Medicago truncatula: one gene and its partners. The protein of the gene in region 3 binds, or shares a complex with, the protein of the main gene of each other region. Links are inferred from orthologs where the notes say so. Each region holds a gene or a part of one and is shown on either strand. Other genes may lie near its edges.

Region 1 (7,679 bases), on a different chromosome or scaffold from region 3:
GCCTTTTGGAATTAATTTTTTTTACCGTTCGGAGATTAGATTTGTTATTTTGTTTAAACTTTTACAGGTTGGCATTCTCCTTCGAGTAATGGGTTATCCTTCCAAAACAATAATTTACCTGGCTGGCTCTGAAACATTCGGAGGTCAACGTGTTTTAATTCCTTTGCGGTCCATGTTTATCAATACACTGGATCGCACTTCCTTGTGCAGTGAGAAAGAATTGTCTGACTTGGTTGGACCTGAACCACCTCTTCCTCAAAATATTTTTCGGACACCTCCTTCAAAAAGCGAGGAAGAACTTAAAGAAGAATGGAAGAGGGCCGGTCCTCGGCCTCGGCCTCTACCGCCACCTCCAAATAGACCAATTTACCAACATGAAAAGGAAGGCTGGTATGGTTGGATCACTAAGACCCCTACAGAACCTGATCCTTCACCTATGGATATGAGGATGAAAGCGCATAGATTACTTTGGGACACACTAGATTACATTGTTTCTTTGGAAGCAGATGCCTTCTTTCCTGGATATAACAATGATGGAAGTGGATGGCCATATTTTTCAAGCCTTGTCATGGGACATCGGCTGCACGAGACTGCTTCTTCTAGAACATACCGACCGGACAGGTAAGTGCTCTTTGGTGTTTGTCTCAATTTATTGATATTCATTAAGATATAAAAAGGTTTCATATAAATCATCAAATTTTCTTATTTTATTGGGGAACTAGAGTTGCCAAGTTACTGAGTTCAATGAGCGGGTGAAAGATGACATTATTTTGTGATCTCTTTCTTTTTGGGCTGGAACTATGTGGGGGAAAGGGTAAATATATAGAGCAACGAGCCACGTTATTTCCTTTTACTCCACTTCAGTAACCAACAATGCTCAGAGATGGCATGTTTTGTCTTGACTCTTGATTGAATATTTATCTAAAGAACACTATTACAACTTTCTTCGGTCCTATTCCAGACATCCATACATGTCAGTATTTAAACAAATGCTAGACAAGACAATTCTCTTGCAGCAGACCACAGACAAGCCTAGGGCCTGTCTTTGGCACTTTCTGGATAAATTTTATGCATATGTGTTGTTCTGTCAATAAATTGTGTGCATAGTATGCCTTCCTTCCTTTCCACCTATGTTTTTTCTAATGCGGTAATTTTTTATTGATTGTCTTGATGCCTTGAGAATTGCATGTATGTATGCATCTGAAGGTGATGAGTATGATGAACTTCTGTTTCCGCGCTTTGAACTTCTCAGCATTCTAATTCTTTGAAAACCATGTAGTTGATTGTGGTTTTGGTTAGTTGAAATTTCCCTTAATTCTACATTTTAGTGACCCTATTTCCTCATGTTTCTTACAGGAAAGTTGTTGCGGAACTTTTCAACATGAACCGTGAGAATTTGTACCATCCAAAACACAATTGGACAATTTTAGTGCAAGAACATCTTAACAAAAGTATGACCGAGGAAGGCCTCATAAGGCAATCTCGATTGTCAAAACCAGCAATGTTCCTTTCACATCCACTTCCAGAATGATCTTGTAGAGTAGCTTCTGCCAGCGTTGCTAACCGCGTTAGAGGTGAGGATGGCCAATTTCTATATGGAGGCGAAGACCTTTGCCCCAAATGGATGCAGCATGCTAGTCTGTCAGGTTCGATGGGGAAAGAAGGGGTAAAATCTGAAGACGATGGGCTCCCAGATTATGAGAGTAATGATTTTGTTGATGAATCTGAGTCTGAAAAAAATGGTGGTAAAACTGATCAGACTCAAGTCTGGGATCAAGATGAGGAAATGGATCCAAATGACTGATAGTGGACGTGCATATCATAACTACAGTCTATAGATATACAACATCCAATTTTTCTGAAATTTGAGAGGTATAGGTTATAAGGTGCTCCGGCAACGCACATGTCTCAATGCTATCTGTGCTGAGCATATTGGTATTCAAATATATTCTTTCATTAATTTTTTGGTTATTTCCATAGACAAAGATAACAATTTCTTTTACTTTTCACTTTCCACTTTCATCTGAATTTTTGTTGTAACATACATATTACGAACAGAAGGATAAAAAGATCAGCTGTCTGCATAATTGGAGAACAGATAAAGTTAGAAGCAGAGTTTTTGTTTAGAAATTAATCCATATATGGCTGCTATCCTTTTTTTTTTTTTTTTTTTTTTTACACCGCATGATCTCTCTCTTTTTAAAGTTCTTAGTGCGATGAATATAATTATTACTAACACGGCAATCCATGGAAACAAAGCTCTGAAACAAATAAGATCAAGAAACTTCGGGTTCCCGTAAAATCTTTGCATCCTCTCCTTCCAATCACTCTCCCATCCTCCCCCTCATTCAAGATCTGTGTCCGTCTGCCTTTCAATCTTTTTTCCTTACGTTTTCTCTACCTTGATATTCTCTCTAGAATTTAAAGACAGATAGACACATATTGTGGAGGCCCAAGAGGGAGAACATGCAAGGAAAAAATTAAGGGAGAAAGAGACAAACAAATATATCTTTGAATGAGGGATGAAAGAGTGATCGGAAGAACGAAGAAGAGAATTCAAAGTGTAAAAAAGGTCAAAAATATAAAGTTTATCTGCACTTTATATTAAATATATAATTTTATGATAAATAATTGTTGTTTACAATAATAATAAAAAATCATTTTTAGTAGTCTAAGGCCCCGTTTGGATTGGCTTATTTTGAGCTTATGTGGGCTTATCTACTCCCATAAGCCTTTTTAAAGGCGTTTGGGTAAATAAATAAAAATAGCTTATCATAGTTTCATAAGCTGCTTATGCCATATTTTAATAAGCCTAAATTTTCAGCTTACCCTCTGGCTTAACAAGGAGCTTATGAATTTATGTAACCTCTTTCGATTCTCTCTAGATCCACTTTTTCAAAACATATATTTTAATTATAATTTTTTTTGAAAGAATATTTTAATTATAATGTTAGTTATCTTTGGCGGTGCATCAGTAACAAAATTGTTATATACTTATCTTACTAAAGTAACAAACGTAACTAAGATTTTTTTTTTTAAGAAGATTTTTATTATTTTTTTTGTTACGTAACAAAATGAAACTGAATAAAAAAACAAATTTAACTTGTCTTTTTTGGGTAACAAACTGCACACTAATATCAATATATATGATATGTTTATTTACACCTCTAATGTTAATTTTATCTTATATGAATATTGATATTTTTTTTAAGAACAAATATTGATTATACTATATATATATATATATATATATATATATATATATATATATATATATATATATATATATATATATATATATATAATTATAATTAATATGTTATAATATTGTTTTTTTACACCTTGATTAATTTTATCAAAAAAAATCTTGATAACTGTGGTTCAATTCTTTGATTTTTTTGTTAAATTAAAAATATTTAAAATTTCGATAATTGCTTATGTAATGTCACATCCAAACACTTCAATTTATGTAAGTACTTTTTAGTGTACATATCCAAACATAAATAACTTATCAAGTATAAGAGCTTATGATATAAGCTCTAATGTTATAAGCACTAATGCTATAAGCATCTATATAAGATGTTTATCCAAACGGGGCCTTAATCTATGTAATATTGAAGAGACCTAAATATTAAAGTGTAATATCGAATAACCATCATTTTAATCTTGAACTATCAACTTCTCACCAATTTAGTCACTAAACTATAAAAATATAAAAAATATTCTCTAAACTATATAAAATTCATCAATTTAGTCCATTGGTTCGGTAGGTCGGATTTTTGTTTTTGCTTCGTATATTTTTTGCCAGACAGTAAAAAGGGTTTTGGTTTAGGTATGAAGCGAGTTTAGATTGTCTTTTAGAAACCTGTGTTTCTTTAGATCAACAAAATATAAGATGAAAATGATTTAAATGCACGCCACACAACACTCTTTTAGAAACCTGTGTTTTTTTTTATCTTGTATATTCGGCCATTTGGTTCATGGATAGAAGATTTGAGCATTGCATCACATATTTGGACATGTAAGATTGTATTTGGCTCGTATATTTCATTGCATAATCGTGTATATATACAAGGGTATCTTAACTATCAAGACATTGTCAAATCATAACTGTGATTTCTCAATCAATATAAAATATATTTACACCCTACATATAAATGATATTTACATATTAATCTTATAATTTATGGTTGGTCCTATCACAACCTTACAAAACTGGTTTGTGATGCGATGATTGTCCCCGCTTATAAACACCTGTTCATGTTGTCTCTTATCTAATTTAGATTCTTTAAGAATAAGTAAACTAATTGAGTCTCAAAATTGTGAGCGTCGGACAATTTGGGATCCTAAATTACAAAATAGCAAATTTCTCCCTCAAATTAAATAATCCCAATCAAAATGCTCCTTTTGTTAAGTGGTTTTGTTAGGGTGGCAAGATGTAAGTGTATATGTCCTTTTGAAATAGCAAATTTCTCCCTCAAATTAAATAATCCCAATCAAAATGCTCAAAAAAATTACGACTATTTCTCATCCTTTCCCCATTAAATAAGGTATTATATCGGAAGCACGTTTTCAGTGGTGTATTTCATCTGAAAATATACCGTCGTACAAATTTGAGCATATAAGGGGTGCGATTAGCAATCATTAACAAAGGATGGGCCGTTTTCCTTTTCTATTGAAGCCCAAACCCGTTTCGGATCCATAGATTTAAACCCTAATCTCTTGCCTCAAACTCTTCGTTTCTTCTCTCGATTTCGTAGGGATCTTGTTCCAGCTTCGGCTTCAGTTTTGCAGCGATTGGGTGCTCAAGCTGTAATCTTTCTGGTATGGCGTGCATCAAATTTCTTTTGATTTGTTGAATTTGAATTTGTTTCATGCCTCTATTGAATTTTGAATGTTCCCGTTTTAAATTAGGGTTTTGAGGTAAATTTTATCTCATTTCCATCGTTGAGCTCCAAGTTTGAATTTTTTTTAAAATTCGCAACTTGGGTTTTGCCTGCCCACCTTGTATGCTATTGGGTGCAATTTCTGAAGACTCTGCTTAGTTATCACGTTAGAATTTTGAATTTTTATTGTTCTGTATATCTTAGTTATTATTGGAAAATAATCTCCAATTTAGGTGATGTGGTTGCGTTTTAAGTTTGTGTATTTCACGGGGTGAAATCTGCAGACGAGATTGAAGAAGCTGGTAAAAGGGTAATGATTCTAGTTAAGGATTTGTGAATTGTATACATGGGTATTTCAGATTGTGAGGTGAGGGTATAGGAATGTAGTACCAGTTACTTGTCCCGGAGAATAAGCAGCTAAAACAAGTGTGTGTAAAATTAACAAGGGGTAATGTTTACAGTTGAGGCACCAGCTCAGTGGTAAGAGCTTAGCCTTGTAACCAACGGGGACGGTTGTAAAATGGCCATTAGTGCTAGTTTAATCAATAAAAAAAAGGGTAATGTTAGGGTTTGATCTGTCAAAGCGGTTAAACGAGAGATGAGTAAGGTAACTTGTTGAGTATATGATCATAATTTGATCTCATGACACAAATGCTTTCTTTATGATAGATGACAAGCGCTTGGACAAATTTGAGCTTTGCAATCAAACATAGGGAATATAGAGTGGGAGTGGGAGAATCGGGGTGGAGTTGTGGTTATTTTTTTAAATAATTGGAGATTCTTCCTCACTCTCAGAAGGATTATGCTTGCTAATTTTCTGGAAAGGATGAGGAGAGCAAATTTATTTTCAATATTGTTATAGCTTTGGAGCATCTTTGGAGCAAATGAGCAATGGAGCTTGTGGAGCACGGCTCTCTTCAAGGATTGCTCTCTTGGTTTGCTTCATAGTTTTGGTTTTATTTACTTTTGTTTGTGTAATCATTAGAATGATGATAGTTAGGCGTTTCAGGTTTAGGCGTGGCTTCAGACAGTAATTGATTTCTACTTGTTGATGAGCTTCCGTTTTTTTGTAGAACTGTACAATTTCTCCAATCAAATATGAGTAGTCGCTTTTCTCGCACAATCTATGTTGGCAACCTGCCCGCTGATATAAGAGAATCAGAAATTGAAGATCTGTTCTACAAGGTTTGAGCTGCGTACTTTTCCTGTTTTCCATGTTATGGTGCCTTCAGTTCATGTCTTCATGATATTAGTTCATGATATTTTGTGTTTTGTTCAATTTGTTTGGCTACTGAATTTTTCTATATCTTCCTATTGTCTGGAACCTACCTTTACACCATTAGGAGTTTTGAACTGAAAATTTCTTTTACTCAAACCTGCATTTCTACTTCTCTATTTATTTTTTGTTTAATTACTGGAAATCAATTACAATTATGTTAACCGATTAGTAAAATTCATTAAACATATATTCAATTCAGATGATAACAGTTAACGAGAAAAGGTTTGGGTAGTTGTTTGTTGTTTTAACTGACAAGCAGATAGTTTGCATTATTCAATTCTTATGACTTATGAAGGATAAAGAATCATATATTCTTAACTACTTACAGCCATGTATTTTTTCTGTTGACCTCCTTTTCCTTTGAATGGACTATAGTTTGCTTAGCTTTGTTAACTTGGATTTGGATTTTACCCTTAGTTATATCTGTTGCTTGATTCTTATCTTATACGTAGCTTCAAGGGTCAATGTTTGAGGTTGATTGTTATGTACTAACATAGTCATGTTACAATGGTTTTCCATTATTCCCTTAACAGTATGGCCGCATAATGGAAATTGAATTGAAGGTTCCTCCTCGCCCTCCATGTTATTGTTTTGTTGAGGTATTTATAATTACTCTCTTATATATTTCTGTCTTGGCGACACTCTTTACCCTTTTTCTCACTACTAGATTACTTGTATTTTGGCTTGGTAGTTTGACAATGCTCGAGATGCTGAAGATGCAATTCGGGGTCGTGATGGTTACAACTTTGATGGTTGTCGATTAAGAGTAAGGGACTGTTCCAACTTTTGTCTTGTGAGGTGAAAACTTTCTTCGGAATGCCTAATCTGTTCTTGTTGTAGGTGGAGCTCGCCCATGGAGGCAGAGGGCCATCATCAAGTGACCGACGTGGGTATGGTGGTGGTGGCGGCGGCGGTGGAAGAGGCGGCGGCGGTGATAGTGCTGGTGGGGGCCGTTTTGGTGTCTCTCGCCATTCTGAATTTCGAGGTGTGTCTATTTAGGGATTCCTTTTTCAATATAAAAATGATAGGGAACATATGCTGAATGGTATTTTGTTACCAAATAAAAAACGCGGAATTGCATTTTTATTTTTCATTTAGGCTGTTCACCCATTAAGCTCCGACTAATATCATGTTTATCATTCTTTAAGGAAGAATTTAAATTTTCTTTCAAAAAGGGAATTTAAATTTCCCCGATTCATGGCATTCTAAGATTTTTCATGCTGAGAACTCTTGAACCATTGTCCATGACTCTTATCTGCATGTTTATGAATTCACAATTTTCGATATTTGTTACTGTATGTGCTTGTTTGCTTTATGTGATTCATAAATTACAAGTGATTTTTGTTCTACTTTTATGCATATTATTGCCAATCGGCAATAATTATTGAAGATATTTTTGTTTTCTAACTTTTCGTGATTTTCTACACACCATAGTATCTTAGTCTTTTTTGTTTTTGTTTACTACAGTTATTGTTCGAGGACTCCCATCTTCTGCATCCTGGCAGGATTTGAAG
Region 2 (7,817 bases), on a different chromosome or scaffold from region 3:
AGTTCATTTGTTGTTTAAAGAAAAACTACCTACAAAGATAATTGACACAAAATCAATCAAACCTTCATTTTTTTTAGTTTCTTATAAGAACTAATACTTGCTTCCTCTTTAGAGTCTAATTAGCCAAAATGTGACCTTTACCTGTACCTTCCAAAAGTTTCTGGACAAATACATGACACTTTGATCCAAACAGACAGTTATGAATGATGTACTGCAACAACAGCATCTGGTAACTTCATAGCTCTCTTTGTCCCAACTTTTTAAAATGACAACTATCTTTCTTGCACAACATATCTCTACCCGTAAATACTTTGGCTTCCATTCTTTGAGCATGATTTTCTTTGGCCAACTATAAGCTTTATATTCTTTCTAAACTGGATGGTATATGCAAAACAATATATCAAACTAAATAAAATCTTCTTCACAGAAAAATGGTATAAGGGAATAAAAAAAAGTAATTATTTGAACCATTCTTCTGCAACAAGCCAAAATCCAAAGTGGGTAAAGTCCGGACAACTGGCAGAATAAGGCAAGTTTGGAATCGATATTTCTTATGAAGGGACTTTGATAGATACGTAAGCAAGTACCAGATCACTTTAAGCCTCTTTACTTGTTAAACTTTATTAATCAATCTTTAAACTCTTCCACTCACATTATTATCTGCATAAAGAAGACCATAAGCAGATATCATTCAATTCACTTAAACACATTATAGGAGTCCTGTCAAGGTCATAGGATTGGAAGGCACTCTGATTGTAAGAACTAAACCAGCTAATTATACTCTTGCCGAGCAAGGACACAGTACATCTATCACAAATGTGATGGGAATAAAAACTTAACAGAGCAATTCTTTTACCAGCTGTAGCTCTGCTGAGCAACTTTGATCACAATGATTTCCAACCAAATAGCAAACATCCTTTACTACCATGGATTCTAAAGTCTAAACATGTCATACTACAGCTAAAATAAAATCACTTCCAGCTTATGAAATACAACTATTGTCTAAAATTCAATTCGAAATAATATTTCAGTACCTAAATACAAGTATACAACCAAATGCAACCGGTTGCACCACCATAATAATTGTAAATTAGGCTTTAGTTCAAGCAAGATGATATGATGCTCAGCAAAATATTAAAATATAGTAATATGATTGAGGAAAAATAAACCATTAGTAATGTGTAAAACTCAAACCTTGAATCATCCCTGGCTGGTGATGGAGACTTAGAGTAGGCTGCAAACAATGCAGATATAATAACATAAATAAAAGGATTGGCTTCTCAAAGAATGCATAGACCAATTTAAAAAATTGTTAGTGTTTAAATATGATTTTGAAGCCAAGGCAAATAGGTATACTAACATCGATAACGGCTGCGTCGTGGAGATCTTGATCGAGCTCTCCTTCTACTACCACCACCTCCACTTCGACCACTTTTAATAAATAAATAAATAAAAAGATCAATACGCATGAAACGATTTCATAATTGTAAAATGTAAAAATAACTAGCACATCAAATCAAACTGTAAGCACACCTTCCATGAGAAGTAGTAACACGCATTTCTTGAGGGGTTTTCCTATTTTCCTCAGCAAATACAATTCTTATTTCACGTCCACCAATTATAGTGTGATTAAGTTGTTGCTTAGCCTCTGCTGCATCTTCACCATGTCGGTATTTCACAAATCCAAAGCCACGAGGCTCACTACAAAACCAATTCAACAAAAATTCAACGGTGAAATCAAACCAATCACAAATTTAAAAACAATATATTATTAACATACAAGTAAAAAAATAAGTCTATGGTCAAAATACTCCTAGAGACTTGGGTATTATATGGTGCCAAGTCCCACATTGAATAGTATGGTATGGTTGGCGATGTATTTAAGTGGCTTGATTCTACTCAAAATAGCTAGCTTTCCATAGGTTCCTCAAACCAGTTCAACACTCCACCAAGCATCCCAATTCCATGCGGACTTTCTTTTGTTTTGAAACTCGATATCCAACCAAATGACAAACTAATCCAAGGGACCAATCCCACTGTCTCCTAACAAACCCAATTGAAACCAGAGTATGGACCGGCCCAACACAAGAAATGTTAACACGTGGAGGAATTGAACTTGACACCTTGATAGGAGCACACTCCGAAAGTCAAAGGCTAACCTCGAGCAGTTTTAATCCATGTGAGACTTAGACACCCCATATTACACAAGTTCCTATGAAATACACACAATTTCACAGTGTATGTTTGGTTCCACTTCTAAAGTGGCCAAAATTGATTCTAGAGGTGTAGAATTGATTCTGACATGTTTGGTTGTTTTCAAGTAAAATTGATTGTGCCTGCAAGCTTGTTCTACTTGAAGATAGGATTTGTAACACATGTTTGGTTGTTTTCAAGTAAAATTGATTTTGCCTCCAAACTTATTCTACTTGAAGCTAGGATTTGTAACTTTTGATTCTAAAATTGATTTTTATACACAAGCTTATAGTTCAACTCAACTTTTATACAATGCATTCAAGCACAAATCAATTGACCTTGAAATCACTTTTAATCAGAAACAATTTACTCAATCAATTCTAATCACAGCAAAATCAAATATACATAGTAATATCTTATTGAAAGGGGTTGAATTGTTACTATAAAAAAAAGTTAGAAGAGAAGAGACGATACCCAGTGTAATAGTTTCTCGGAAGGTAAACATCCTTGACAGGACCATAGCGTTCAAATGGACCCCTAAGATCTTCAGGTCTTGCATCAAGAGGGAGATTACGAACGAGTAATCCAGAAGGAAGAGGAGAACGACGGTCTCTGCGAGACCTGTTGTCAGGATAGCGATCATCTTCGTAACGCTTGCGACCGCGAGGTGGTGGAGTTCTGCTACGCCGGCGAGGGCTGTAGCTTCTGCTACGGCTTCGATATCGACCCATTCTGAGAAATTAAAGAGAAGAGAGTTCTAGAGGAACAACAAAAACCCTAATACCCCGATAGTAAAATTCAGATAGGATTGCGAATTATTGAGAGAGGACAAAAATATATAGGAATGAATTGAAGAATTAAATACATTCTTTTACAATTTTATTTTTTTTAAGTAAAATACATTCTTTTACAATAAGATGATATGAATAAATTATACTACCTCCGTAAGGGGAAAAGTTACGGTGCATAAACACTTCACAACCATTGGATTTACATAAGAAAAGGCAGTATAAAAACAATTTCAAACAAAAAAAAAAATCATAAACCAACACTCTTTCTCTCTAAGTCTGAAACTTAGAGAGATGTTCTGCAAAAGAGTTTCTTCTCCGACCTCCTCTTCAAGCGCCAGGGCGGTGCCTGCCATCCCAACAAGGCGGCGGCGCCGCGCCGGAGATAGCAAAAACCTCCGTTTTCAAAAAAAAAAAAAAAATCAAGAATCCGACATCCATTTTCTTTTTAAACTCAAATCCACCTTCAAAATTTTCGAAAAGCAAACACATATGCCTAGATTTAGCTTCAAAGATTCGAAGAAAAAAAAAAGGACACGAAAGAGAAGAATTCGAAATTGATAGAAAAGAAAAGAAGAATTCGAAATTTGTAGTGTGTTATGATTCTGATGATTGTTTGCTAGAAAAGTGTTTGATGGATTTGTAGTGAAAGCTCAAAAAATGAATTGCTGAAACCATTCCCACAGCAAAAATTTCTGGAAACCATTCCCACGGCAAAATGGTTTCGGAGTACAACACACAGAAACCATTTCCACAACAAAATGGTTTTGGAGTACAACTCACATAAACCATTTCTTTCCTCCTCCTCCAATTGTGTCAGTCCAAAACTGAATGATGTCAATGGCTCTAGGTCCTTGGTTTTTTTCACCTGCTGAAACCATTAAGTACATCTAATGGTTTTGGAGTACAACTCACATAAACCATTTCCACAGCAAAATGGTTTTAGAATAATTTTATACAAAACATACTATAAAAAGGACATTTGTGACTGTCATTGAACCAAATCATTATTAACAATTTTATGCTACTTTTTTAAATTTTAAAAGTTTTGGGTCAAAGTTATTTTTTTTTTTTAAATATGGACCGGGTTGCAAATTTTAAAAATTTAAACGGACAAATTCAAATTTTAAAAAAATTTAGAGGTTAATTTTCAATCTTTGAAAATTTACAGGAGTCAACTTGTAATTTTGGAAATTTATACGAGCAATTTAAAAATTATGAAGAACAACTTGAATTTTTTTAAAAAGAAAATATAAAAACCAATTTGACATTCATAATTTTTATTTCTTAGGTTTCATAATTTTTATTTCTTAGGTTTACTAAAAAAAATAGAATTCCTAATAAAAATAGTTTCCAAGTATCGTTTGAAATTTTCTAAACTTAACTTAAACAAAATATTTTATAAATTTTCATCTTTTTAAAAATTTGAATCATTTTGTACCAATTTTTTTTTTTGAATCATTCAAACAATAAAAATTGCATAGAATTTTAAACTCTCTTAGACCACTTCAAAATTTTCATTCATCCCAACCCTCTAAATGATTCAATATTTAAATTCATAACCATAGTGTAAGACTCGTTAGTATCACATGTGATTCATGCATGAGACCCAAAAATTATTTTTCAATTGTCTCAGCGTGTTTGGTTTGGCGGCAGAGTTAATTGATTCTGGTATAATTGAGTTTGAGAGAATTGATTATGGTTAAAAGTGAGTTTGATGTGAATTGATTTATGTTTGGATACACTCACTTAAAAGTGATTCTTATGAGTTGATGTTGTTTGAATAATTTTAATCAAAATTGATTTTGAATGTACAATGACCAAATTATCCTTTTAATTGTTTTTGAAACTAAATATCATATTTTCTTTTCAGATAATTATTTCTACTTTTCTAAAATCATAAGTACATTTTTATTGGTTCATAAATTCCTTTTAAAATGATTTTTTTAACGGAAATTCCTTTTAAAATAATATTCATTAATAAGAGTTATTTGTAATATTTTGTTATCAAACCAATTGAATTATTATTTGCTTCCACTTCTACATAGTTCGAGCTTTTCTAGTTTTAGAATTAAAAGCAAAAAAATAAAATAAAAATGTAAAAGGAAAATGACTCTACATGAATTACAATGGGCCCATTCATCTCTCATCTCTAACCTGAAGATTAGATAACAGTACCAGACAGCAATAAAAAAAATGTTTAATTACTTTTTTTTATCGTCTAACTATTTAATTGGTATCAGATTGATCCTCTAACTAAAAATTGATTTATTTCGGTCCTTTAAGTTTCTCACCGTTACTACATTTAGTTATTTCTTTATGTCAATTTTATTCAAATAAACGTTAGGATTTGTGTTAGACATAAAAAACGCAGGACAATGAAGGGAAAAGCTGGAAATAATAATGTTACTTCTGCAGAATTGATTTTGGTGGACAGAAAAGCTACATATTGTAGCTTCGCATAAAATCGATTGTAAAAGGAACAATCACGTTTTTAACATGGGTACCAAACACCTTCCAAATACAATAAAACCACGTTTAGAGGTGTAAACGTACGTCCATGGATGCCAACCGCAGAACCAAAGAGGGACTTAGTGGCAGTGTGCTCATTGATCTTGTTCAGATAGTTGTGTTTGTTCTTTGATTACCACATCACAAAGGAACTATCTTCAAGCTCTTCGTGAGATTTCACACAACTACTCAAATACTTCCTCAAGGTCCACAAACCTTCAATCGTTGACTCTCATTCGGTATAACTCACTCCTAGAAATCATATTTTATACGCCAATCTCATTCATAATCAACCGTATCATATTAATAATTATATTAAAAAAAAAGATCATATTTTTGGGTATAATAAGAAGGTGTCGTTCGTGGATGTGTTCATTTCGGGTTTTAGCAAGGGTGGGACGGGTGGAGGTGTAGTCTATTTCAGTGAGAAGAGGAGTTAGTGGAGGATTGTACGTATTTTTTGGGCAAACATTTTTTTTACATGATATTTATGAATACTGGTGCGTATTCAGTTAAGGTCAAGGATGTCTTCCATTCTATAGAAAATGATGTAGGAGTAACAGTGGTTCTAGTGCATTTTGTTGATGATATTGTTTTGGAACAAAATAGTTCATTTGAATGTTTGGTTGTTTGCTTAGAGATTTTAATAGGTTACTGATGCAGGTTAATGTGTTAAACATGGCATTTTGAACGTTGATTTACAGTTATGTGTTTTGGACTTAACACAATACACTTATTAGTTAGGTCTATATTTTAGGTGTAACGTCCATTCTATTACAATGCAGTTCATATGTAAAAAAATTACTCTTATTAATTTGCTATTTTATGAGTTACTCGGTGTTGCCAATCCTAGTCCTCTTTTTGCTATTCCTTGCAACAAAGCAATCTAATACTACAATCTGATAAAATAATAGTAACTGAAAAATGTCCTCCTACTGCAATTTTCAGCTTGGTCTCCAACAGCACCATCAACTAGTGGCTGTGATTTGGTAACTCTTTAATTCATATCGATGAATTGAGGCATGCCTGAATTTCTTCCAATGTTTTTCCTTTGGTTTCTGGGACTAACTTTGCTACGAAAAGAATAGTTAAAAGGGAACATCCAGCATATAAAAACAATGTACCTGCTCAAAAATATAGAAGATATATGTTACCAAGATGAAGAACTTAAGTTTACTAACTAATTGTGGTAGTGTATTGTGCTTACCAGGAGAACTCCAGCTCATAAGAAAGTTGAAAGTATATGAAACAACCCAAGCTCCTAGCCAATTTATCAAAACTACCAAACTCCCAGCAGTTCCCTTTACATGTATAGGAAAGATCTGCAATATGAAAACTAGTATTAATTAAAGCATTTCTTACATCAACACTGCATCTACCTTTTTATTCGGTTTTTATATCGAGTCTAATTCATTTTTATAAAATCGACATATATCGTAAGAATGTCACTATTTGTATCTTTTCAATGCGTGACTTGGATTTTCTCAATACCTTCCATGAGCACAATTGTTCATAAGAGTTGCACTACAAAAGCCACAAAACCAAATGACACATACCTCAGACATTATTACCCAAGGAACCGGTCCCATTCCAATTGAAAATGCTGCTACATATATCTGACACAATTTGATACAATTTCAGGTCAAATATGCTTAAAGAATGTATGTGATTAACTAACATTTCATTAACTCAAATTCCTTAATCACATTTTCAAATTAGACTCACCAGAATGCCGGCAACAGCTAATATTGGTACCAACTCAAGCAGCAAGTTCTGATCCTGATCCATGGAATTATACACAAAGTTTCAAAATTGACGAATTGAGAGATACACGTCATAATCTATATAGAAAATATGATTAGTAAAACTTGCCTTGAGAAAGAAAGCAATTCCAGTCATAAAGCAACCTAAAAATGTTCCACTTGCTGAAGCCTACATGCATATAGACACTTCTATTAGGCATTTCCCCTTATCAACGGTATTATCAAAAATTTTAGATACTTGATAATAGAATTACCGTTATAAGTGGTCTTCTTCCAGATTTATCCATCAAAATGGCTCCCAAAATAGTGAATGGAACCTGTCATTCATTTTAATATATGCTGTTATAAAAGTACAGTTATATTATCAATAAATAAATGTATGAGAAATTCATATAGGGATAGAAAACTACCTGCATACAAGCATAGGCTATGGTACCAATTTTTCCCGAAGAAAGTCCTGCAAGTCATGTTGTAGCGCGATATATAAATAAATAAATAAATATAAACAAAGAGAGCTACTTTGATTTTTCAAAATCAAAATGTATTTTTTCAAACTTACCAG
Region 3 (8,017 bases):
TTTGCTGCAACTTGGAGTGTAGATGGTAAACATTTTCTAAGGTCACACGCAGTGACGGATCCAGAAGTTTTGCTTTGAGGGAGCAACATTTCATCATCCATATGAAAGTATTGATGAGACAGCGAAGACACCGACAACAAGAAGTGTCATCAATGAATGTCTACTAAGATATCCATTAAACTCAAATAAATGACATAAATAATATATTTCAGCTTTTGATGCATCCCACTCTACAACAAACTCTTCATTTTTCTGAAAGTCTAAGATTTCTACGGTGGTAATTTGATTGTCTTTAGTCTCATTCAAAATATGAGTTCCAAGTAATCCCAAAACTTCAACTTGAAATTTCATGAAGATTTCATGTGTACAATTTGCTTTTCAAACAGTGAAGGTGTTTTAAGAATCGGTTCCGTGTGTCATGTATTAAAATCAATTACTTGTTTTTTTGTCTCTTCTCTATCTTGCAAGGAAACTATATATTTTTCAACAAACTCATTTAATGTAGTTTTATTATAACCTACATATTTGTCGAAAAATGAATTAATGCTCTCATATATCTGAGTTGTTGACATACCACAAAAAAAAGTATCCATTATGTAAATAGGAACTCAATGATCATGTTTATCATATAAAGACTTAATTCACCCATACCCATATAATTGAAATAATTTCACAATCTCTTGTCATTTATGTATAAATAGTTGCTTTAACCAAGATATATAAATGCTCGAGTTTAGATATCTGATAAAGTCGTCATATTTCTTAATACATGACAAAACTTCTCAAGAACATTTCTAAGTATATGCCAAAGACAAAATCAGTGTTGAGTGTTTGGAAATATCTCTCTGATAGTCACTTTTATTGCTCTATCTTGATCACATATTATTGCAATTGGAGGTTTTACGCCCGACGTTTTGAGCCATGTTTTCATCATCCATATGAGAGTATTTGAGGTCTAATCTACTAGTAATGTGTAACCAAGTAACCTTGACTGAAAGTTATTATTCACACCAATAAAAGGAGAACATGACATTTTATACTTATTTGTATTAAATGAAATAACATCTCGAAACTCTTGATAATAATCTCTATATTTTTCATCTACTTAAAATAAATTTCTTACATGATATAATCTATGATTTAAATAGTAACGATAACTCATATATGATATGACTATCATAATAAACTAATATAAGAAATGATAACAATAACTCATAATGATATGATAACAATATAAACTTTGATTTAAATAATAACAAGGAAATATGTCGTACTAGTACATGTCAATGGTGAGAAATGGAAATAAAAAAAATAAATAAAGAGTGAAAGCAAGTTAGAACATGAACATGATTTCATTGATAGAGAAAATAGGTTTAATCAATTTTATGAAAGCAGCCAATTTCATTGATAGAGAAGAACCTGAAAGTGAACATGAAAAGAATGTGTGTGTGGGAGTTGGATCACATGAGATAAAAAGTTAAAAGCTAATTTAATAATAAAAAATAAAATAATTAGTAACACTAAAAGGATGAACCAGTCATCAGTAGATTGAATTAAAAAAATATAACACATGACTAATTTTTATTTAATGTGTCAAAAGAGTGAACTAGTGGTGTGACCTTAACATTTCTCTAAAAATATTACCTACCAACACACACACACACACACACACACACACACATATATATATATATATATATATATATATATATATATATATATATAAAAGGAATTAAATTACACTAAAGTAATGTTGAATCAATGTTATACCATTCAATATAGTTTTACTCGATTAATATTTTCAAGTTTGACCGTTAATTATAAGTTTATATCATATAGGTCATCTATGTAAAATTTTATACAAATCGAAAATTATTTGATATGTTTTTGTGAACCACTAAGATTAACGATGTTCTATAAAAATGAATAAATTGTTTATCTTGATGGGTCTCAATAACATATCAAATGATTTTAGTTTTATGTGAAAATTTACATGGATCATCTAAATGATATAAACTTATAATCAAACGGTCAAATTTGAAAAATATGAATCGAGTAAAACGATATTGAATGGTATAACATTACTTTTGAAATGATGCTTGTAATTTTGTTATACCTTATGCCTGTAATTTTTATTAATAAAAATAGTGAGTTGCCTAAGTTTGTTTTGTACTATCAGTATCAGTTAACTAAGCATACATGTGCAGTTTTAGATACACGACAGTTTCATTATTTCTCCTTAACTTGGCAGGTCCAGTGCAAACACAATTAATTCATTCATTTATATTATACATGACATGTCCATTTCATTCCTTCACTGGCAACAAAAATATAATATGGATTGATAATTAGAAAGTTTTTAGTTGAAGCGAGTGACAATCATGTGTTTCGAACAATAATCAAATTTAAGCCGTGACACTAAAAACAAATTTTGTTGTGGAGCTTATATTGTTTTCTTTTATCCATCATTGTCCTTGTGTAAAGGGTTGAGTTTATATTGTGACACTAAAATTGAGAAGTTATACATTGTAAATTCAATATCAAACTAATAATAACATTACCATAATTCAATCAATATTGTAAAACAATCAGATCTTACATAATGTCAAAACACTTAAACAACAAGCCAAGACATGAATTCACAATCAAAAAGGAACAATAACGTGCACCCCAAAACGCTGTCAGACCCCCAAAACAAACAACCAATGTAGCAACAACAACCAGCAGCAACAAGGAAAAAACCCACACCCACCTCTGAACCAACCCAAGTCTCAATGCCATGTTGAAATATTTAATTATAATTTATTTAATTATAATATTCCAATAATTATTATATGGGCATATATATATATATATATATATATGTTTTAATTATTTTATCTATTTATTTTTAAGGGCCTTAATTATTAGTGATCAAATAATGAAAAAGGCTTATTAAGTTTCTATTAAAATAATAATTAATTATTTAAGTGATATGGACTTGGATACGGGTGGATGTTCGGATGGTCCATTAAGGAAATAATGGGATCCTCAATTTACCCTACATGCCTATTGGGTTTCCATTGGTTTCAAACAAGTCAATAAAGAAATAAGAATGATTTAGAAAGTTATTTAAAATCATGCAAAGTTTTCTTGAATATATTTTTGAGTTCGTCTATATTTAAGAGTTTATAAACAGATGTTCCAAAAAAAACATTTATGAGTCCTAAATTTATGTGTAAAAAATCATTTAAATACATCTTGACTTTACAACATGACCAAAATACATCTCGACAAATTTTGTAAGGATAAAAAAAAAGTGTCTTTTTTTTATAAAGACAAAAAAATTGATAATTTTGTCGGAACGAAAAAATATTCAAACTCTCGATGGTAATGTCAACAAACTAACTTACAACTTAGTAGTTACTACTCTCCACCTCAAAATAAAAATAAAAAAACTTAAACTTGCTTCGTCCTAAATTATAAATTGTTTCAACAATTTCACATAAATTAAGAAATCTAATCAATTTTGTATAAAAAATAGAAAGTATTAGGAAAAAAATATGAATTATTTTACAAAATCATCATTCATTGATGATATGAAAAAGATAAAATCAGAGAAATGAAAAAAGATAGAGTAATAAATAGTTAAGAATATAACATAAAATATAAGCTTCATTAAAATTGTAAAAACGACTTATAGTTGACACAAATTTTTCTTCCTAAAATAACATTTTTTGTCAAGTTGTTTGATGGGTTAAAATTCATCTGTTAAGGTAAATAAGTAGAGTATCTGATGTTTGAAACCCGACTCCCATACATAGATAACAATACATTATTTTGTCAATTGATATATACTCACGATGACAAAACTACGGAGGAACTTATTAAATCAATTCTCTATCAATAAAAAAAGAGTAAATAGTCAATTTCCCCCCTGAAATTGTAAGTTTCATCAATTACCCCCCTGAAATTAACAAAACTTCAATTACCCCCCTGAAATTTCACAACGTTAGTCAATTTACCCCCTCCGTCAAATTTTTCTGTTAGTGAACATGACGTTTTGCAAATACCCCCCTGAAGTTTTGCACTTATGTGCAAAATGCCCCCCAAACTTAAAAATTTATATTATTTTTTTCTTAAAAACAAACAATTAATAGTTAAATATTAAAACTAACTATTAATTTTGGAATTTGGGAAAACTACATGCATATATACATCAAAATAGGCTCCAAAATGGGAAAAAATATGTATTTTTTAAAGTGACAATAATGGGATGATTTGTGGATTAATATTGGGGGTTGTGTAGTTTAAATGGTTTGAGCAAATTGTTGAAGGAGTTGGAGGAGTTAAAAGACTAAGATGGTGAAGGAGAAAATATAAATTTAAATCTGATTATTAATTTGTTTATAAACCTCTAAAAATAATAATTTGTCTATTAGAAATAACCATTATTGTCACTTTAAAAATAAACATTTTTCCCTATTTTGATGTATATATGTATGTAGTTTTTCCAAACTCCAAAATTAATAGTTAGCTTTAATATTTAACTATTAATTGTTTGTTTTTAAGAAAAAAATAATATAAATTTTTAAGTTTGGGGGGCATTTTGCACATAAGTGCAAAACTTCAGGGGGGTATTTGCAAAACGTCATGTTCACTAACAGAAAAATTTGACGGAGGGGGTAAATTGACTAACGTTGTGAAATTTTAGAGGGGTAATTGAAGTTTTGTTAATTTCAGGGGGGTAATTGATGAAACTTACAATTTCAGGGGGAAAATTGACTATTTACTCATAAAAAAATTATTGGTCCCGTGAGCACAACTCAATTGGTAGGACAATACATTATTATATGGGGTCGGAGTTCGAATCACGAACACGTGAATTCTAGCCACTAGAACAAAAAAATTTATTGAATTAGTTTCAATAAAAAAACCAAAAATATTTTTTTTTAGAGGCCAAAAATTACTTGTTTTATATCTTTCCTTCAATTCCTCATTTTTTCTTACTTTCGCCCAAAAGTCCTGAAAGTGAAGGATATTTCCGTAATTTAAAACCTCTCTAATCTCCTTCATTCACCAGCAGCAGCTTCACGTCTTTCTTTCTCTCGTTCCCTCGCAAAACCCTAAACCAAAAACAAAACTCAATCCAAAAATTCAATCTCACATTTCAACACTTTCAATCGAGTTTCAAATATGACACAATCGAAGAAAAATCACAAAGATAAACCAATTCGCCGCAAGTAAGTTTCATCCAATCTCATTTTTTTTTACAAAATCATAGTATTTTTTATGGAGTGGGAGGTGCAAATAGTAACTTCTGTGGGGTGCAAATAGTAAAGTGTTTGAATTTGTACAGGGAAGAGAAACCGGAAGAACCAGAATTGCCAAAATATAGAGATCGAGCTAAAGAACGTAGGGAAGATCAAAATCCTGATTATGAACAAACTGAACTTGGTTTTCATGCTGTTGCTCCTCCTGGTACCGTTGATATCAGGTAAAGTTTCGATTTTTGCCTTTTTGTTTTTTAATCAATGCATGAAGCACAAAAAAGAGTTTTTTTTTTGTTGGGTGTGAATTGGCGCGCAACTATGAAGACTAATCTCTCAAGCAACCCAAATGGGTGGCGAACTATCAGTTTTAATGTTGTTGCATACCCAAACTTGAGTTTGAACTCGAGACGATAGTTAAGCTAGAAGAGACTTTTTTTGGTATTGTCTAATGTTGATTATGTTTTATAGGGCATCTGATGCGCACAAATTGTCTATTGAGAAGAGCAAGTACCTTGGAGGTTCGTCTTGTACTTTTATTTTGTTCTACAATGATTAATATTATCTTGGTTTGTGCTATGGTATAATGAAATTTTAACAAACCGGTAGTGTAGAAAAAAGACTTGTAGATTTTGAAGTAAGGTGAGTAGATAGATAGATAGAGGGTATTCGAATCAGAAAGGTAGAGAAAGACGTAGTCATGTAGGAAAACTATATGAGAAACTATTACGAAAGATTTAGATATTATTGAATTGGATACATATACGATATATGATAGAACACTATGATGTCGTTTGATCCATGTAGCCGACCCCACTTAGTCGGAAAAAGGCTCGGTTGTTGTATTGTTCTAAAAGCTGTCTTGGTTTGCAAAGAAATAGTTAGTCTTAAAGCAGTGTTGTCAAATAGCAGCACTGTAGTTTAATGAAATTTTAACAAATGACTATTTGTTCTCAAAACTGTCTTGGTTTGCAAAGAAAGTTATTTTAAAAGTAGCATTGTCAACTGGCCGTGCTATAGTTTAATGAAAGTTTAACAGACTGCTATTGTTCTAAAAGCTGTTTTGGTTTGCAAGGAAACTGTTAATCTAAATTCAGCGTTGTCAAATGGCTGCGCTATAGTGTAATGAAATATTAATAAACCACTGTTGTTCTGCGATACACAATTTAGTACAAAGTTTTGTCAAATAGCAATAGGAGACTGGTCTGGTTTGTTACATTTTTGGCTCTCTGCCATGAGCCATCGACAATACAGATAGCGTGCTTTAGTACTGTAGCATAGTGGAATTGGAACAAACCAATATTTTTTGCGATCTGCGATTGACACACTGCATAAAAGCTTGTTTTAGGTCTCTTCTGCATGTTCATAAAATTGTTAATTACTATATAATTCTTGTTTCTGGGAAGGTTTATTACTTTGGTGCATTAGAAACCTAAAAATAAATTGAACATTCACTTGTTGTTGTCATCCTCATCATGACAATAATTCAACAACTAGAAACAATGTCTTTTCCCACTAGATGGGGTTGACTACATGGATCAAGCAAAGTTGTAATTTTTTTATCATAAATCTTATCGAATAATATAATCTTTTAATGCTTTTGTATATAGGTTATTTGGGTCTCCTTCTATACCTAGTTATTAGAGTCTGGACTATATTTAATTTGCTCTAGCCTCCTAATCGATACATCTATAGGTGTCTTCCAAGAATCTCAAAACATCGTAAATGAGTCTCTACTAGTACTAACATTTTTAAACAATGGGGTCTACCCCTACTTTTTCTCTAATACTTTTGTTTCTACTTTTATCTTGCTGTTTGATCACTTATCCATTGTATCATTCTTATTTGTGCAACACTGAACTTACCTTTTCATAGGCTCTTTACTACCCAACATTCAGTGTTGTAGTTGTGCGATAAAAGTGTCATCTAATTCTGACTTCTGAGTGGTATTTTTTTGTCAAATGTTACCCCTAAGTGTTCTTCCATTTCATCTACTCTGGTTGGATCTTGTAATTGACATCTCCTTCTGTTTCTTCGTTATTTTGTGAATTAGACCTAATATTACCTAAACCATGCTGCTTAGTAAATAGTTCATTCTCCAATTTTCACCTCGAATTTAGCAATTATGTACCTCCTTCCAGATCATCAATGATTTGTTCCATAAAGATTTAACAAAGTTTTACGTTGGTTGTTATTTGTCTAACGCAACCCTCCTTATTTGTAGGAGGGGGGCTGGGTCGGGCTTTGTGATGCACATACGCATAGTTGTCATCCTAAACCTCGATGATCTCAAATTTCCATATATTGTAGACTCTAATATCTAGTGAGTAGGTTTTAACTTGGAATTTTGAATTTCCTATGCTGCATGCCTCGTGATATTTTCTTATTCAGGTTTATATTCTTACGCTTTTGATTACATTTTGACATTCTTGCTTTATGATAGAGTAGGTTAAAACATGAAGCCCTAACTGAATGTGTTATTTTAATAACTTACCTTGTTTGCGTTAATTACATTGGTCAGGTGATGTGGAGCATACACATTTGGTTAAAGGTTTGGATTATGCTTTGCTGAACAAAGTAAGAAGTGAGATTAAGAAGCCAGATGCTGGGGATGATGGCGATGGGAAACCCAGGTGACTGAGTCAGAATTTTCTGCAGTAGTAGTTATGTGGTTGTACTGCTATCAATTAAAGCATTTTATTGTCCTTTAAAAATTGTTTAGTAAAATTTGTTCTTTTGTAGGGCACCCAAGGAAGACCAGAAAGTGT
Region 4 (7,962 bases), on a different chromosome or scaffold from region 3:
GTTATGAATAGAGTTGGTGTAATATTTGATTTTATGTGCACTAATAAGAAATTACAAACTGACCTGAAATAAAGGAGTTCTAAGCATGTTTTCTTTGGTATAGCAGTAATCTAGTTTGAATTATTGTTTAGATTTTTTATCACAAAATCTCAGACATTGGAGTAGTAGTATGAAACTGAAAATGAGCACCTTAATCAACGAAATCTAAAAGTAAGGTAAAACAATAAACGAAAGACATACTCTAAAAAGTAAATCAAATAACCATGGTATATAACATAACACTGTGCACTCCTTCAAAAGAAAAAACATAACAATTAGGTGTCTCAACACAAGTCCTGAACAAAACTAAAGTACTAAAACACTCCATCTACGAATCTATATATGCTTCCACGCTGATTAAGACTATTATCAAAGCTAATCTAGGATAAACTAGTTGTTCAGTTTGAAGGAGAGGTAGTTCCAGGAGTGTTGGACCTTGAAAACGATCTTGAACTCGCACTCACACTTGAGCTTCTTGATCGAGAATGCTTAACTTTGGAATAACCGCCACTCCTTCTAGAAATTCTTGAATGACTCCTTCCTGATCTCTTTCTTGCCCTGGGGGAGACACTTCGAACAGGAGATGCACTTCGCGAGTAGCTCCTCCTTGACCTCCTTGGCCTTGGTGAAACACTTCGAGAAACCGACCTGTAACGGTACCTTCCACAGTAGCTATCATCAGGTGATTCATATCTGGAACCATAGGGAGAGTATGATCTATCACGCATTCTGACAGGAGACCTGCTGTAAGGAGAGCGAGACCGAGAATATGATCTGTGCCGGTCATAACGATAGTACGATCTGCGTCGACTGTAGTATGGTGAGTATGCCCTCCTTCGCCTGTAGTCAGGAGAGTAAGACCTCCTTCGCCTGTAATCAGGTGAGTAAGAGCGACTCCTACTATGGTCTGATGAATAAGGTGAACGATTGTAGCTTCTTCTATAAGGAGAATAGCTAGGCGATCGTCGAGGAGAGTAGCTTGGAGAGCGTCGCCGTCCTGAATTTAACAAAATGATATGGATTAGAAAATTTGAAAGAAAAAAAGGGTGGACAATCATAAATGAAGTCACAAGAAAGAATAATGAAACACACCTCGAATAGTTTTGAGACCAAGATATTTCCCAGGTGTTGGGGTTCGACCACGTCGTCTTCTAGCCTGCAGTAAATGCAAATAACAACATGAGGATAAGGTATTGCTATGCACATGAATGTAAGCAACAACAACATCAATATAAAATCAAAAAATTAAAATATTTAGCCCAAAATATATATAAACCCTTTGTCAGAGAAGGGACTTGATAGCTATAAAAATGACGGGAATATAACAAGTTATAAATGCAAGAAAAATAAAAGAGGGAAATGCAGGGCATACAACCCCAACGGTCTGATGCTTGTTGATGTATTTGATTTGTTTAGTTGTGATTTGAGAGTTTGATGAAGGGCTGCTTCACACCCTAACCTGCTGCCACAGAAACTTCAAATGGAAAGAAGCATAAATCTTTCAAATTTCATAAAGAACATAAAACGCAAATCATCCATGCATAATCAATGCAGTGAAGTCGAGCAAAAATCAAAACAACTAAAAATCAAAGCCCCAAAATAGACATTGTTGATTGAGTGTACCTTCTCAACCGTAATAACACGACCTTCAAGTACAGAGCGATTCAGATACTTCACACAACGATCAGCTTCTTCTAAAGTATCCATTGTCACAAATCCAAAACCACGGGATTCCCTTGTCCATGGATCAACAACCAGATGAACATCTACCACCTACAAAAGCAATTCAAGAGTACAACATATTTAAATTTCAACAAATAATAAGCCAGTTAAGACTAATAACAAGCATTAAATGAATAGAAGAATAGAAGACAATGAAGAGCATACTTTTCCTTTAGCAGAAAAATGCTTCTCCAGTTCCCTCTTGGTGATCCTAGGAGACAGTCCTGTCACATACAAATTGTTTCCTGGATTTTCCACATCTGGTGTTACGCTCCTAAATCACCATAACAAAACAACTTCAACATGAGTGCATAATTAGATAATTAAAAATACAACAGAGAAGCAATAACACACATAACTATATAAATCAACTCCAAAAGTTAACTCAAATAAAAATAGAGGGGTCGAGAATCCTACCTTGAAAGAGATCGGGAAACAGACCTACTGTATCGCCTGTATGGAGAAGGCGAGGGCGAGGGAGAGGGGGAATACCTGTGAAACGAAAATCAACAGCATAAGCAACATTGCAAAAACGAAAGATACTTGGATTCAAAATTTCAAATAGCAAATTTGAACATTCAGTAAGCAACTAACCTTGATCTCCTTGAATATGATGTCTGCAACAAATCAGAAAGTACAAAATTAAATTAGTACTTTTACACTAAATATGAATGTATCGTTAATTATGATACAAGAATTATAATACGAGAGTGTGTTATTTGAACATCAAAATATCATATCCGTATATGTTTATAACCTTTAAAAAATATAACATCAAAACAACGGATGGGGTATTTGACATAAAAAATTTGATAAAAAAATATCATTTCTCATGCAAGAAACCAATTAAATTTGAATAGTGCATAATAATAAGACCAAATTTTACAACAAATGAAGATTCTAAAACAAGTCCCAAATAATTAACTTCTAATATCCACTAAAGCTAAACCTTATCGATCAAATCAAATTATACAGTAAAAGGAATATAATTAACAAATTTGAAAGACATGCATAGAGATAATTGATTCGATATTCAATTACACATAATAAGAATGTAAGAAAAAAAAAAAAAAAAAAAAAAAAAGAGAAAATGGAACTTACCATAGTGGAAGGTGAATGGTGAGAACTTGATTTTTTTCGAATATGGAAATGAGAGAGAATCAACGAAATTGTGTGTTGGAAATAAGAGAGAAATGGCGTAGGAAGGATGAAGATGGTTATATAAAGGGTGAAGTGTGAGATTATGAGAAGTTTCTGGAGAATCAACCAGAATTGGACACGTTCGATGCAATTTTTATGGGCCCTGGGCCTATCCCTATTAGTTTTAGGGGGTACCAAATTAGTTTGTGGGTGACAATTTCAAATTTACTCACAATTCTCACAATTCTTCAAGAGTAGTCTTAAGTCTTATCAAGTTTGAATCATAAGGAGCCACATTTTTACGACATAAAATCGCATATGCATATTTCAAGGAAAAGTTTGCATTTGCAACGTGGTTGCAACAAGGAGAATATGTTTTACCTAAGTTTGGGAGCTTGAACCCCAGCCCTCAAGAAATTTAGAGAAAATTTCTCTAGCACATTTCCAGTTCTTATTATGATTAAGCACGTAATGAAAGATTGGAAAATCAACTTCATTGTTTGAAAAACCTATTTGAAGGTGATCTTTAAGGCAGTTATATCCTTTTATGGTACATATTTAAAGAGGTCATTTTATGGACGTCCAGTGGCAAATTTAATCGTATAGAATGGAACAATTTCCCTTAAATAGAGGAGAATACTAGTACGATGATTAAACTCACTTCTAGAAACTACTTCATTTGGAAGTCGAAAACGGAGGATATACTTTACTGCAATGATACATATGATCCTGCAGAAAAGGGAGACACGGAGCCAGATAAAATTACGAATGAAGACTGGAAAAAAGTTTTGTCGGAAGGTTGTTAGTTTGCTTAGGCAGTGGGTGGATCTTAGTGTATTCCACCATGTGGGGCACATAGACGAATGCCCATACTCCATGGAAGAACATCGAAAATATATATCAAAGAAATACCGCACAAAACAAAACTTTCACTATTAGAAAGTTGGTGAATTTAAAGTATCAGGAGGGAAGATCGGTTGCCAAGCACTTGAGTGACTTTCAATACTTGCTAAACCAATTGGTTGCCATGAAGTGTTCGATGCCAAATTATAATCATTGTTACTTTTGAGTTCTTTGCCAAAAAATAGGGAAACTTGGGTAGTGTCGTTAAGCAACTATGCTCCAGATGGAGCACTTACATCAGGCACGGATACACGTTCAGCTAATTGGGGGCACTTGACCCCACATGTTCTATTAATTTTACATAAATTTGTTAAGTAATTTTACTTTTTTACCATTAAAAATAAGTTTTGCCCCCACAAAATATTACTAAATTTTTTTTTAAAAGAAGAAATTAATATGCAAAAATATGAAATATAATATTATTGAATAATTGATTGTTGATGTATATAGACAAATATATTCGACAATACTCAAAATGATGAAATAAACAATAGTTTTAAAATATAAAGTCAATAGAGAAATACATTTCATAGATACTTAAGTATATTCAATTTTTTGAAAGTATATTCAATTGTTTGGATATAAAATGATATAATTTTTGTAGTCTCTGCTTTTTTAGTGTTAATAATATCACTTATTTATGAGTAGATTTTTTAATGTACATTATTATAGTATATGATTTCATTAAAAAAATTAGTATATGATTTTGCACCTGCTTAACAATATTTCTAGATCTGTGCCTGGCTGACATTGTTCAAAGTTAAAGACAACATGTTCGATGAAGAAATAAGAATAAAAACATAGGATCAAGTAGCTCTCAAACCAATGTCACGGAAAACAGAGGCAGAAGTAAGAGCTGATGGTGATCCAATAAATCCAAAGACAGATTACAGTCTCAACCTCGAAAAAAGTTCAAATATAATTGTTGAAGCAAAATCCTTTTTATTATTTTAAGGATTACAAACATATTTATTTAATTATATATTGTTATCTACTAATGATTTTTTATGAGAAATGTTTATGAGAATGATCTCAAGAATGATCTTGGCACATGACAAGAACAAACAATAACACTCACGTATGAAGACAAGAGTGAACTTTTTATGCAATAGTCTATGTATCATTAAAGGCAAGAAATTAATATGAAACATTTTGTCTCACCAAATAAAGGAATAAGATCATATGACTTGATTTGGTATTTATGGGCTTTTAAGGAATTTGATCCATTAAGGAAAAAGACCCATTAAAAGAAATATCTCTTATCTCCAGAACATTCTGGTCCTATTTAAATCTCTACTATATTAATCCAGAGTGCTCTGGTCCTTATAATATTACGTTACTAATTTCTTCCAGAACAATCTGGTCCTGTTTAAATCTCAATCATATTAATCCAGAGTTCTCTGGTCCTTATAATTAATTAATTATACTGCCTCCAGAACATTCTGGTCCAAGATAAAACAACTGCATAATATTTAACTAAAGTTTAAGTTCAGCTCAATATATTGTTTTATCATTCTTGCTCTCCAGAACGTTCTGGTCCTTAACTGAATCTTTATATTTCAGCCTTATATCATTTTCTCATTCTGCTCCAGATCATTCTGGTCCTAAGATTATTACTTATTTGACTAACGTATCTTAACCAAGAAATTTTCTTGAGTATAAAATTTAATATAAACTTTCAGGAATAATTTAAAAAGGGTCACAATTCAAACCCCCCCTTTCTTGTGACATTTATTGCTACTTCAATAATCACTGCGGCAAAGAAGGTCACATAAAAAGAAATTGAAAACAATGGAAGAGCAAAGAAAAGAAGGATAAGAGGAATCAAATGCCATACGAAGATGAAAATACCACAACCTTAGTAGGTGATGGGGAAATGATGTTGCTTTTTGTTGAAAAAGAAGAATGTCGTATTGTAGATTCATGTGTTATATGGGTCGTTGACTCTGCATCTTCTTATCATGCCACTTCCAACAAAGAATTCTTTGTGATGTACAAAGTAGGAGACTTTGTTGGCAAAGTCAAGATAGACAACAATAATATTGTAGATATTGTTGGAATTAATGATGTGTGTGTTCAAACCAATATCGGTTTAACACCAACACTAAAGGACGTGCGACATGTGCTAGATTTGCGTCTAAATATAATCTCCGTCCATGCTCTTGTTTAGCTGGACTTCAAAACAACTTTGGTGATGGAAAGTGATACCTACCAAAGGAGCATTGATGGTTACTAGAGACGATGTGTATCCGAGGCTTTACAAAAATCAAGTTAAGTTGATCAAAGATTGCTCGAATGTGGTCAAGAATGTTGCTTTGTCAGATTTGTGGCATAAAAGGATGGCTCACCTAAGTGAAAAAAAGATTGCAAATTCTGTCAAGGAAGTCCCTCGTTGCATCTCACAAATGTACTAAGTTGAATTATCATGATTGTTGTTTGTTTTTGAAGCAACATAGAGTTGTTGAGGCAAAATCCCTAATTAATTTTAAAGATAACAAACCTTTATTAATAGGGAATTAATGGACTTTGATTAATTTGTTGGTATTTAACTTGTGCTCTTGAGTGGTTAACTAAGACAGGAACAAGTTTCAATTTATACCAAGATACAAAGAATCAAAGGACATAAAGACTTAAGAACTCAGTCAGAGTTCAGAAAGTTAAAAAGAATTTAGAAAGTTGAACAGAGTTCAGAAGGTTGTTCATGATGAACATCAAGAACCAAGCCCAGATACTCATGAACTAAAAGACGATCATGCAAGGTTCATGTGACTTAAATAAAAGCCCAGTAAAGTACATTGACTAAGATCAATCAAGGAATAAAGGCATTTATTTGATAAAAGTCAAAGAGGACATCTTCAATGTTCATTTAAGACTATGAACATTTGAAGTACAAAACATTAGGAATATTCCATTAAGAATATCATCCTAGATGTTTTCCATGCTGCACTTCATAAATGTTTCACTATTAGGATTTGATTACATTAATTACAAGTCTTACAAATCATCCTAAGTGAAACAAAAGAAACATTCTGAAGTCCCCTGAGTTCAGAAAGTTCGATCCTGCTCCATGCTTTTTTCTGACGTGAACAGTACAGTGGTTGGAAAGCAAGAGGCAAAGTCAAAAGCAAGATCTGATCTCATTCATCAAGATCTCGACACATAAGGGAGTTGGTACTGTACAAAGCAAATCAAATCCCCTAAAGCATGGAAGTGAAGTGACAACACCACTTTATGATATCCTGCACGCGTTCCAAGACAGATTTCAAAGAAGATCTGCTACAGGAACATTCTGAAGTATGTCCAAGAACAATCTTCAAGTACAACCCAGAAATTCATCATACATTCATCTGCAAAAATCCAGATGCATATCTGACCGTTCATCCACATGAACTCAGATGAAGATCATGAAGAACACAACAACATTCTGAAGTATCTCAGTTTGCCCAGAATTTCAAGTTAAAGTTGGTGGGTCCCAGGACACGTGGCATAAGACCAGTGGTCACTCTCCAACGGCTATAAAGGATCAAGAACTCTATAAATAGAGATCAAGACCTCAGCATACAATACACCTTTGCAAAGCATACAAGAAAACAACATAAGAGTGTTTGAAGCTTTAGCAAAAATATTGATCATCACAAAGATTCCAAGAAGTCTTCAAAAGTGTAAATCAATATCTCTCATATCTTTTCAAAGATAAAACTCAACCTCCATTCTTCTCTTGTCTGATCTATATCATTCAACCTCCATACAAATTGTAAAGAAAGTCTCATCTAGCTTTAGGGGTACTAAAGTGTTAGTTTGAGCAGAAAGGTGTAAAGTCTAAGTGGGTAACTTAGCAAGAAAGGTGTAAGCCTGCTGAGGCTAAGAGAATACAGTTGTTGTAATTGTTCAGGTGAACAAGGTTGTAAGGTGCAGGATTTGAGAAGTTATCTCAAGCATCATAGTGGAAAATCTCACAAGATTGTGAGGAGTGGACTAACCCACATTGGGTGAACCACTATAAATTTCTGTGTGTTCTTCTTCTCTTTTCTTTACTATTTACTTACAGTAAACACAACACACACAAACACATTTAATTATTCAAATTGTGTTTATACTAATACTTCAGAACGTTCTGAAGTCTGTCTGTTAACTTAACCATTCCAAGTTATCAACTTG

What was found.
Region 1: suppressor of mec-8 and unc-52 protein homolog 2 (region 3) and serine/arginine-rich splicing factor SR34A share a complex: the UniProt entries of both Arabidopsis thaliana proteins name them as parts of the spliceosome. The link is inferred for Medicago truncatula from reciprocal best matches to the Arabidopsis thaliana genes SMU2 and SR34a.
Region 2: suppressor of mec-8 and unc-52 protein homolog 2 (region 3) and serine/arginine-rich SC35-like splicing factor SCL28 share a complex: the UniProt entries of both Arabidopsis thaliana proteins name them as parts of the spliceosome. The link is inferred for Medicago truncatula from reciprocal best matches to the Arabidopsis thaliana genes SMU2 and SCL28.
Region 4: suppressor of mec-8 and unc-52 protein homolog 2 (region 3) and serine/arginine-rich splicing factor SR45a share a complex: the UniProt entries of both Arabidopsis thaliana proteins name them as parts of the spliceosome. The link is inferred for Medicago truncatula from reciprocal best matches to the Arabidopsis thaliana genes SMU2 and SR45a.

Annotation. Positions count from the first base shown.
Region 1 is NC_053044.1:45,763,788-45,771,466, reverse strand, and holds the start of serine/arginine-rich splicing factor SR34A, read left to right. Parts: upstream 1-4,668; 5' UTR 4,669-4,824; intron 4,825-5,555; exon of another isoform or gene 5,556-5,821; intron 5,822-5,959; 5' UTR 5,960-5,984; coding exon 5,985-6,071; intron 6,072-6,698; coding exon 6,699-6,764; intron 6,765-6,856; coding exon 6,857-6,931; intron 6,932-7,005; coding exon 7,006-7,150; intron 7,151-7,632; coding exon 7,633-7,679. Other genes in the region: protein EMBRYO SAC DEVELOPMENT ARREST 30, read left to right, coding at 68-621, 1,357-1,531. UniProt on the Arabidopsis thaliana protein: Probably involved in intron recognition and spliceosome assembly.
Region 2 is NC_053045.1:57,273,159-57,280,975, reverse strand, and holds the start of serine/arginine-rich SC35-like splicing factor SCL28, read right to left. Parts: upstream 3,012-7,817; 5' UTR 2,925-3,011; coding exon 2,668-2,924; intron 1,702-2,667; coding exon 1,534-1,701; intron 1,432-1,533; coding exon 1,361-1,431; intron 1,235-1,360; coding exon 1,195-1,234; intron 1-1,194. Other genes in the region: sugar transporter ERD6-like 16, read right to left, coding at 6,495-6,616, 6,700-6,814, 7,049-7,108, 7,218-7,271, 7,365-7,424, 7,510-7,572, 7,666-7,712, 7,815-7,817. UniProt on the Arabidopsis thaliana protein: Involved in intron recognition and spliceosome assembly. Probably active at the 5' splice sites.
Region 3 is NC_053043.1:19,409,543-19,417,559, forward strand, and holds the start of suppressor of mec-8 and unc-52 protein homolog 2, read left to right. Parts: upstream 1-5,000; 5' UTR 5,001-5,175; coding exon 5,176-5,222; intron 5,223-5,338; coding exon 5,339-5,476; intron 5,477-5,720; coding exon 5,721-5,770; intron 5,771-7,770; coding exon 7,771-7,882; intron 7,883-7,991; coding exon 7,992-8,017. UniProt on the Arabidopsis thaliana protein: Auxiliary spliceosomal protein involved in splicing of specific pre-mRNAs that affect multiple aspects of development.
Region 4 is NC_053044.1:28,074,881-28,082,842, reverse strand, and holds serine/arginine-rich splicing factor SR45a, read right to left. Parts: upstream 3,007-7,962; 5' UTR 2,866-3,006; coding exon 2,863-2,865; intron 2,379-2,862; coding exon 2,356-2,378; intron 2,254-2,355; coding exon 2,179-2,253; intron 2,036-2,178; coding exon 1,927-2,035; intron 1,813-1,926; coding exon 1,663-1,812; intron 1,196-1,662; coding exon 1,132-1,195; intron 1,037-1,131; coding exon 438-1,036; 3' UTR 243-437; downstream 1-242. UniProt on the Arabidopsis thaliana protein: Probable splicing factor involved in constitutive and/or alternative splicing events. May bridge the 5' and 3' components of the spliceosome.